2 linked regions of the Rattus norvegicus genome follow. Each later gene encodes a partner of the first gene's protein in a complex. Links are inferred from orthologs where the notes say so. Each region holds a gene or a part of one and is shown on either strand. Other genes may lie near its edges.

Region 1 (3,521 bases):
ATCACGGAGCTCTAAGAAAGAAGTCACAGGACAGTCATCACTAGCAACAGCACTAAGAGGAACAGGCGGGGGATGGCTGTGGGCGCGGTATTTCCTCCAGCGTGTAGTGTGGTGCCAAGGGAAGGCCGTGAGAGTTCTGGTCTCAGCTCATCACGAGCCCTTCGTTGGCTTTGCACATAGCAGTGTCTATGAGGTCTCATGTTTACGTTGTTCTGTAGACTGAACAGGGAGCATCAACAGCCTTCTGTCTGAGTTGTCTCTCTTCATGTGTTTCTTTCACATGTGCCCAAACAATGCACTCTCATGAGACACGGTAGTGATGCAGTTCTTTTTTTTTTTTTTTTTTTGGTTCTTTTTTTTCGGAGCTGGGGACCGAACGATGCAGTTCTTGGCAGCTCGCCAGCTCCTCCACTGTGGGGCACTGCGTGTGCATCCAGAGGTGGAGTGGAAAAAGTGTACAAGATGTTAAGTAGTTTCTTTTTCTTTTTCCTTTTTTCCCTAGGAACAATTCACATAACAGTGGCTCTTATATGACCCGTGATATTATCTACCCACTTAAATTCTTTAGTAATAAAACTGCAGAAATATTTTGTTGATATTCATTATTAGATAGTAATTTATATAATATACACATTTAGGTATAGTATATTTTGTTTCATTTAGTTTGTAAGTCTTCAAAAGAGGGATTACAGATGAAAAATTTTAAATAAAAAATTTAATTTGGTAGAGAACACTGATTAGTATCAATCCAGTTTATTCTCAGATGGCTTTTTAAATGTTGAAGCAGTACATAAACAAAAAGAAAAGTATCTTTTTATGCTCTTTTTTATTGAGACAGGCTCATATTATATATCCCTAGCTAGTCTCAGACTTTGCCTGCCTTTGCCTTCCACTTGGTGGGACTAAATATCAGCCACAGCACCAGCCTCTCTTATGTGTGTTGGCTCTGGTTCCCAAATGTTTCCTTTGGTGATATCCTCCAGTGTTAGTTTATGTGGAAATAGTCACTGAAAAAAGGGGGGGATACCAAATGTACATGGTCGTGTTGATGGTTATGTTATTTCTGATATTTTTAATATCATTCAAATATACTTGGGAGATGTTAGTAACTTTAATTAATATTTATTTTCTGACAGCATCTTTTAATAATAATTTAACATAAGTGTGTTAACTTGTTATAACTTTGTTCTAACTTGGAATCATTAAATCATTGTTTTAGCTCTCCTTACAGACAGTTTCATCATCTTATCATTTCTGGCACAAAACAAATTATGTTTTATTCAATTTGCAAAGAAGATGGATTCTCTTGATGTAAACAAGAGGTTGGAAAAGCTCTCAGCCTTGGATTATAAGGTAGATTTTCAATGTCTATAGCCATATTACTACCTATTATAGATAGCGACTCCAGAGGACGGCACAGGTCGTGGCACTGTTTTTATTCTTGAGCATTTGTGGGTTTGAGGAAGCCTGAGTGTGCCTTTGTACCTCACCTGTGGTGAAGGCCTAACGATGGCCTATTTAATATTTAAGCTCATGGAGTCAAGTCGGCTTGTTTCCTAATGCTCCTATAGACTGCACTTCTCAGTCCCTGAATATCCATGTAGCTGCTGTGGATTCCACAGTGAGAAATGAAGGAAGGTCTTTCAAAGACTAATAGAAGATATGTTAAGTACTGGTAAGAGCCTTGCATCCCACCCCAACTGTGACTGGAGGACACATCTCTGTGAGGTGTGTCAGTCTTTCTCCTCTGCTAACGCCAGGTAATTTGTTCTCTGTATCACGGACTTTACATCTGCTAAGACAGGATTTTTATTTTAAATGATGTGCTTAAATTTTTCATATAACATTCTGACTGTAAGGCCCCCTCTCTGCAAGGGTGAGCATCTAATGCATTTTCCAGGCTGTTTCAGTTCAAGGCGTCTTTTCAGCCCTGACCTGTGTTTGCAAGATTGATCCAGCCTCTGTGACGTGGATTTGAGACAGTTCACTGTTCAGTGGGAATAGAGCTGATATATACAGGAGCCATGCACGTGGATGCTGTCCTCAGGCGGGCGTCAGCAGCAAAGGCAAAGCCAGCCCTGTGCCTTGTAATTGGTGTGTGCGCTTGGATGCTGACTTTTGTACCTGACTTTCCAAATTTTAGATTTTCTATTTATTATGATTGGGCTGATGGTGGCATAGGATAGATTTAATTTGCTTAATAGAAATATCTGTTCTTATAAGAAAGAGTTTTAACATGGAAAGTCACCTGAAATAAGTTTTTCACTGTGCTAATAAAATATAATCTGGTTTATATGCCCAATTTGTGGAGCTTCTATAAAATTTGCATGATGATAATTTTCTCTACCTGCTAAATTATGATATTCATTTGCATATTTAGTAAAAAATTAAAGATTCCCTTTAACATTCTTATAGCACTGTTTTTTCTTAAATAGTTAACTTAGGTTGATTTTTTTTTTCTTTTCTTTTTTTTTTTCGGAGCTGGGGACCAAACCCAGTGCCTTGCGCTTGCTAGGCAAGCGCTCTACCACTGAGCCAAATCCCCAACCCCTAGGTTGATTTTTAAATGATGTTTTTTCCCTAATGTTGATCTTTAAAATGTATCAGTATTCATTAGCCGAAGCACTTTAAAGTGTTCTTTACCTTTTTATTTAAGATCTCATAGGACAGTTCCTTTGTTAGAGGTGTGATGACTAGTGGGCAGTGTCTTCTTGATTGAAGAGTGTGGTAATGTGAGCCCAGGAACCGACAGGGTGTCAGCCTGTCTTAAAGAGTGTAAAGCACAGGCCTCGTCTTTGGCCTATGCTGCTTAGATGGGGAATTAATACGTTATTTCTACCTTTGGACTTGGCAAATGACTGGCACTGCGTGTCACTGCTGCACAGTACACTGTGCCCGTGTTTCCTTGAAGAGACACATGAATTTCATGTCTCGCTTCAGTGTTTGAATCATGTGATAACTAGTGATCACCAAATAACAACTGATCTGCATTCTACAAAACTAAATATGCCAATCTCTCATTTTTAATTTGACTTTTTCATCTAGGAATTTGCAACATTCCCTCATAGCAATGTCATGGCAACGTCATGGCGAGTCCACCTAATGTAATGTGCACTTCTCTTTATGTATTTAACAATTATGGTTTTTCTCTCAAAAACGAAGAAATTACAATGATCACATCGAAGACCTGACTATAAGTATTTAAACTTCAAAGCATACAGTGCATCGGTGTTTTATCAGTGCCCATTTGGACTTTACAGCAAGGACATGTATTGAGTATTAATAATTCTGACTTTTCTTTCCAGCTATACCATAATTTAATTATTTCACATTGAAATAATTTTGACAAGAAGAATTTCAGGGTAAATATCCTGAAAGTGTTGACCTTTAACAAGCTTTTCTGCCCACATTTAAAAAATCTAATTCAGTTTAACAGTTGAGGGACAGCACAAGGAGTTAAATGTTTACCATGAGAGAACAACACTGGTAATTACTTTGATTTTAGTTCTTTTTGATGTGTA
Region 2 (3,521 bases), on another chromosome or scaffold:
TGTATACAATTTTGGGGTCTTCTCTGTTTTACAAGGTAAGTTGAAACCTAAAATATTTTCAATATCCAACTGCTATATACATAGACCTAAAGTAGATTCCAACTTTTACACGCATGGAAGACATGTTACCACCTTGCAGACAATACTGTGATCTGGAAATAAGACCTTAGAGATTTATAAATACAGTAAATATTCCTGTTTTACTGTGTGCTAAGGCATTTCCGAGTGTGCAAACATGAAAAGGTACTAAAAGAAGAAGATATATAAGACAGAACAACAGTATGTTCCTTTCTTCAGAATTTTAAAAATTACATTTATTTAGTGTGTGTTTACATGGGAGCCACAGAGCATACGTAAGGCCAACAACAACATGACAAGTTGTTCTCTCCTTCTACTGTGTGGGGCTCCTGGGATCAAACTCGTGTCATTGGGTTTGGTGGCGAGTGCTTACACTAAGCTGTCTCCAGCAATATCTTGTTAACTTCCTTTTGCAATAGTGTTCCTGCTCTTTTTATTGTCTTCTTCAGAAGTGAAATACATTGCATCTTGTGTATGTAGCATTGAGTTACTACTTCCATTAAAGGAATCAAGACAGTTAAGTATTTCACTTTAAAATATCTTTAAGAACAATATGTAACATGTTTAACAGAGTCAGATGATTCAGGAGGCACACAGAAAAGAATGTCTGTGCTGACCTTGACCCTGCTTCTCTTTCTAGCCCTAGTTTAACCAAACATTCAAGATAATCAGTGCTACTTGAGGTGATCTTGTTTTGGGCAGTAATGTGTCTTCTAAGTCCCTTCAGTTGTCAAGTTTGATCGGCAGCTTGGCTCAGATCAATAGCATGGACTTCTGACAAATCTTGCTTAGTTCCTTTAAAACTGCACTGGTTTAAGCATTAGTTTATGCATGTCTTCGAGATATGGGATCGTTGCTGCACGCTGCTAGCTGACTTTGGCTCTTCGTGACTGAATCCCAGGGTTATATGGTGTGCAGCCATCTGCCTAAGGACGATGTTGTTGAGATCGCTGCGTACTGTCGCCAGTACTGCCTGCTGCCTTTAGCAGCACAGCAAAGGATTGGCCAGCTGATAATATGGAGAGAAGTGTTCCCACAACACCACCTCCAGCCCGCTACAGACTCAGACCCTGAGGCCTTCCAGGAACCAGAAGGGAGATATTTCTTACTAATCGTCGGGTTGGTGAGTTACGTATTCTTTCTTGAATTCATTTTATGTTTTCTAAACCTACTTGCTTAAAGAGCACAAACAGGCTTGCTTACAGTATGAATATGTTACTTGCTTACATTCAAGACAATGTTAAATGCTTCTCTATTCTCTTCCTTCTGTATCTGTTTAATAGTCATGAAGAATTATTAGTGAACTCCAGTGTAGGATTTTAGCAGAGTTTGACGATGTTTCATTCCCTTCCTAAAACAGTGGTTTTATCCTTTCATAAAATGATACAGAGCCAAGTCTGGCATGTTAGTGATCCCTGTGATGCCAGCACTTGGAAGGCTGAGGCAAGAGGATTGTGAGTGTGAGTTTGAGGCAGCCTGGGCTGTACGTAAACCCTGTCTGAATGAGGGTGGTGAGAATGGAGGCTATTTGAAAGTAGTATTAGGGATGTCTCTGGACTAAGAGAAATGATTGATGGTGCACTGTTGCTTGACCAAAACAAGCTAAGCAGGATTGTTTCCATTGTGGCTCAGGGAGCTTTGAATGATGGTGAAAAGAGAAAGAAGAGATTTTTCAGAATTCACTGAGTACTTGCAAATGCCTATATATGTCTTTAGTATTTACAAGCATATACATACAGACTATATTAAATATCTCCAATTGAACATGTACCAATCTTCCTCTACAGCGACATTACATGTTGTGTGTGCTGTTAGAAGCTGGAGGCTGTGCATCTAAAGCTACTGGGAACCCTGGTCCAGATTGCATCTATGTCGATCAGGCCAGAGCAACCCTTCACCAGCTGGAAGGAGTGGAGTCCCGCATAGAGGAACAGCTAGCTGCAACCCCGGGGCCCTGCTTGTCCTGTGCTGACTGGTTCCTTGCTGCACCACGCGAAAAGGCAGATAGTTTGACCACTTCGCCTATCCTCGGTAGGCTGCAGGGGCCTTCCAAAACAGCAGCCTCTCCAACATGCAGAAGAACCTTTTTCAGTGACTATTCATTCAAGGCACGGAAGCCCAGCCCCTCACGGATTGGTGGAGGACGTGAACCTGGTGAAGGGGAAGAAAATGTTGGTCTGAGCCCACACACTACCCCAGACACTGTACGGAAGCAAAGAGAATCTGAAGGTTCAGACGACAATGTGGCCTTGCTTAAGGTGTGTGTCCATTCGAATGTTTGCATTGTGAGCAATAACTAATTGTTAGAGAATTGTTTTTAATTGGGAGAGTGTTCCTTATTTGAAGTGGTGTGTTTTAGTGATTAATGAAAAAATAAAAAAACAGAATTGAAAAGAGAAAGAAATATCCAGGGCCAAGACATAAGCCTGCGGCACTAGAACATTTTTTCCCCAGTGCTTCCCCACATACATTGACATACATTGACCTTTCTTCTGCGTTGATAAGGGTGACAGCGTCCTGGCTTGGGGCAGTCTCAGTGTCAGTCTTAATAGCCAGTAAAACATTTAACAGAAACAGATGATCAGAATGGGGAAGAGGAGGTGCCTATTTGTAATAAGCTAAGGTTCTTGATCTGCATTTATGAATGTCACAAACATTAAAGCAGAGAATGCTCATCCTTGAGGTTGACATCCCATGACTTTCCCTACACACACTAGAGATATGTCCACAGTTGACAAAGTCCACCCCACCCTTGGGAGCTTCGCACTTACTCTGGGAAATTGATGTCTCTCCACAGTTTTGAAACTTGCCATCAGGAGGAGGGAGGTGATGCCAGGCCGATTCTGACTGGGCTACAGTGCTTCTGAGTGCTGTGACATTTGCAAGCATAGTTTCCCCTGCTCCCATACAGTGATGCTGTTGAAGCCAGAACACAATATGTTTGTTCCATGCATGTTTTGCATCCTAGCTATAGACTGTTACCTCATTTGATAAACTTTGTAGGAAAGAGAGATCAAGACAATTTGGATAATTTATGTATAGCCAAGCTCTACTCAGCTGCCATGAATAAGACCTCAGACCTGTGTGACCTTGAGGAGTTCAGACAGCAGCGAGAGAGACAAGCACACATGTATACATTCAGTGATGGACCTGGTGGGGAGTTTTCTGTGACTTCACCTTGGAAACCTTCTTAACAAAGAGTAAGAGATGTAGATTAGTATGGAAAATATTTAAAGGGAGCGGCACAAAAATAGTGCTCTTAGGTTTTGAATCATTACTACTGTGTGATCCTGTTCTTAGATAAAAACTAACATACTTATCTTCCAGCTTGCTAGAAAGAAGTCAACACTTCCAAATCCGTTTCATTTGGGAACTTCGAAAAAAGAACTTTCAGAAAAAGAATTGGAAGTCTATAACATGATGAAGTAAGAAACTTCTAGCAT

The links. Proteins that work in one complex are often made in the same cells at the same time.
Region 2: the proteins of Wdpcp (region 1) and Intu are in contact, whole or in part, in a cryo-EM structure (PDB 7Q3E), measured with the Mus musculus proteins. The link is inferred for Rattus norvegicus from reciprocal best matches to the Homo sapiens genes WDPCP and INTU. Residues at the interface, in NP_663400.2 of Mus musculus: Phe3, Cys4, Leu5, Ile24, Leu51, Ser54, Arg55, Asp56, Lys93, Leu385, Ala386, Glu387, Asp388, Tyr389, Ile427, Lys446, Leu447, Gly448, Ile449, Leu450, Thr451, Arg452, Gly453, Leu455, Leu462, Gln463, Ile465, His466, Tyr467, Gln487; in NP_780724.3 of Mus musculus: Val481, Gln484, Val488, Asp491, Ser495, Asp496, Glu498, Ala499, Ala500, Asp501, Ser506, Glu507, Asp508, Arg513, Arg514, Thr517, Ser532, His533, Leu534, Pro535, His574, Tyr593, Glu610, Gly613, Cys614, Ala615, Ser616, Lys617, Ser653, Pro654.

Annotation. Positions count from the first base shown.
Region 1 is NC_086032.1:100,001,036-100,004,556, forward strand, and holds part of Wdpcp (WD repeat-containing and planar cell polarity effector protein fritz homolog), read left to right. Parts: intron 1-1,219; coding exon 1,220-1,353; intron 1,354-3,521. UniProt on the Homo sapiens protein: Probable effector of the planar cell polarity signaling pathway which regulates the septin cytoskeleton in both ciliogenesis and collective cell movements.
Region 2 is NC_086020.1:125,596,756-125,600,276, forward strand, and holds part of Intu (protein inturned), read left to right. Parts: coding exon 1-35; intron 36-979; coding exon 980-1,201; intron 1,202-1,865; coding exon 1,866-2,336; intron 2,337-3,405; coding exon 3,406-3,503; intron 3,504-3,521. UniProt on the Homo sapiens protein: Plays a key role in ciliogenesis and embryonic development.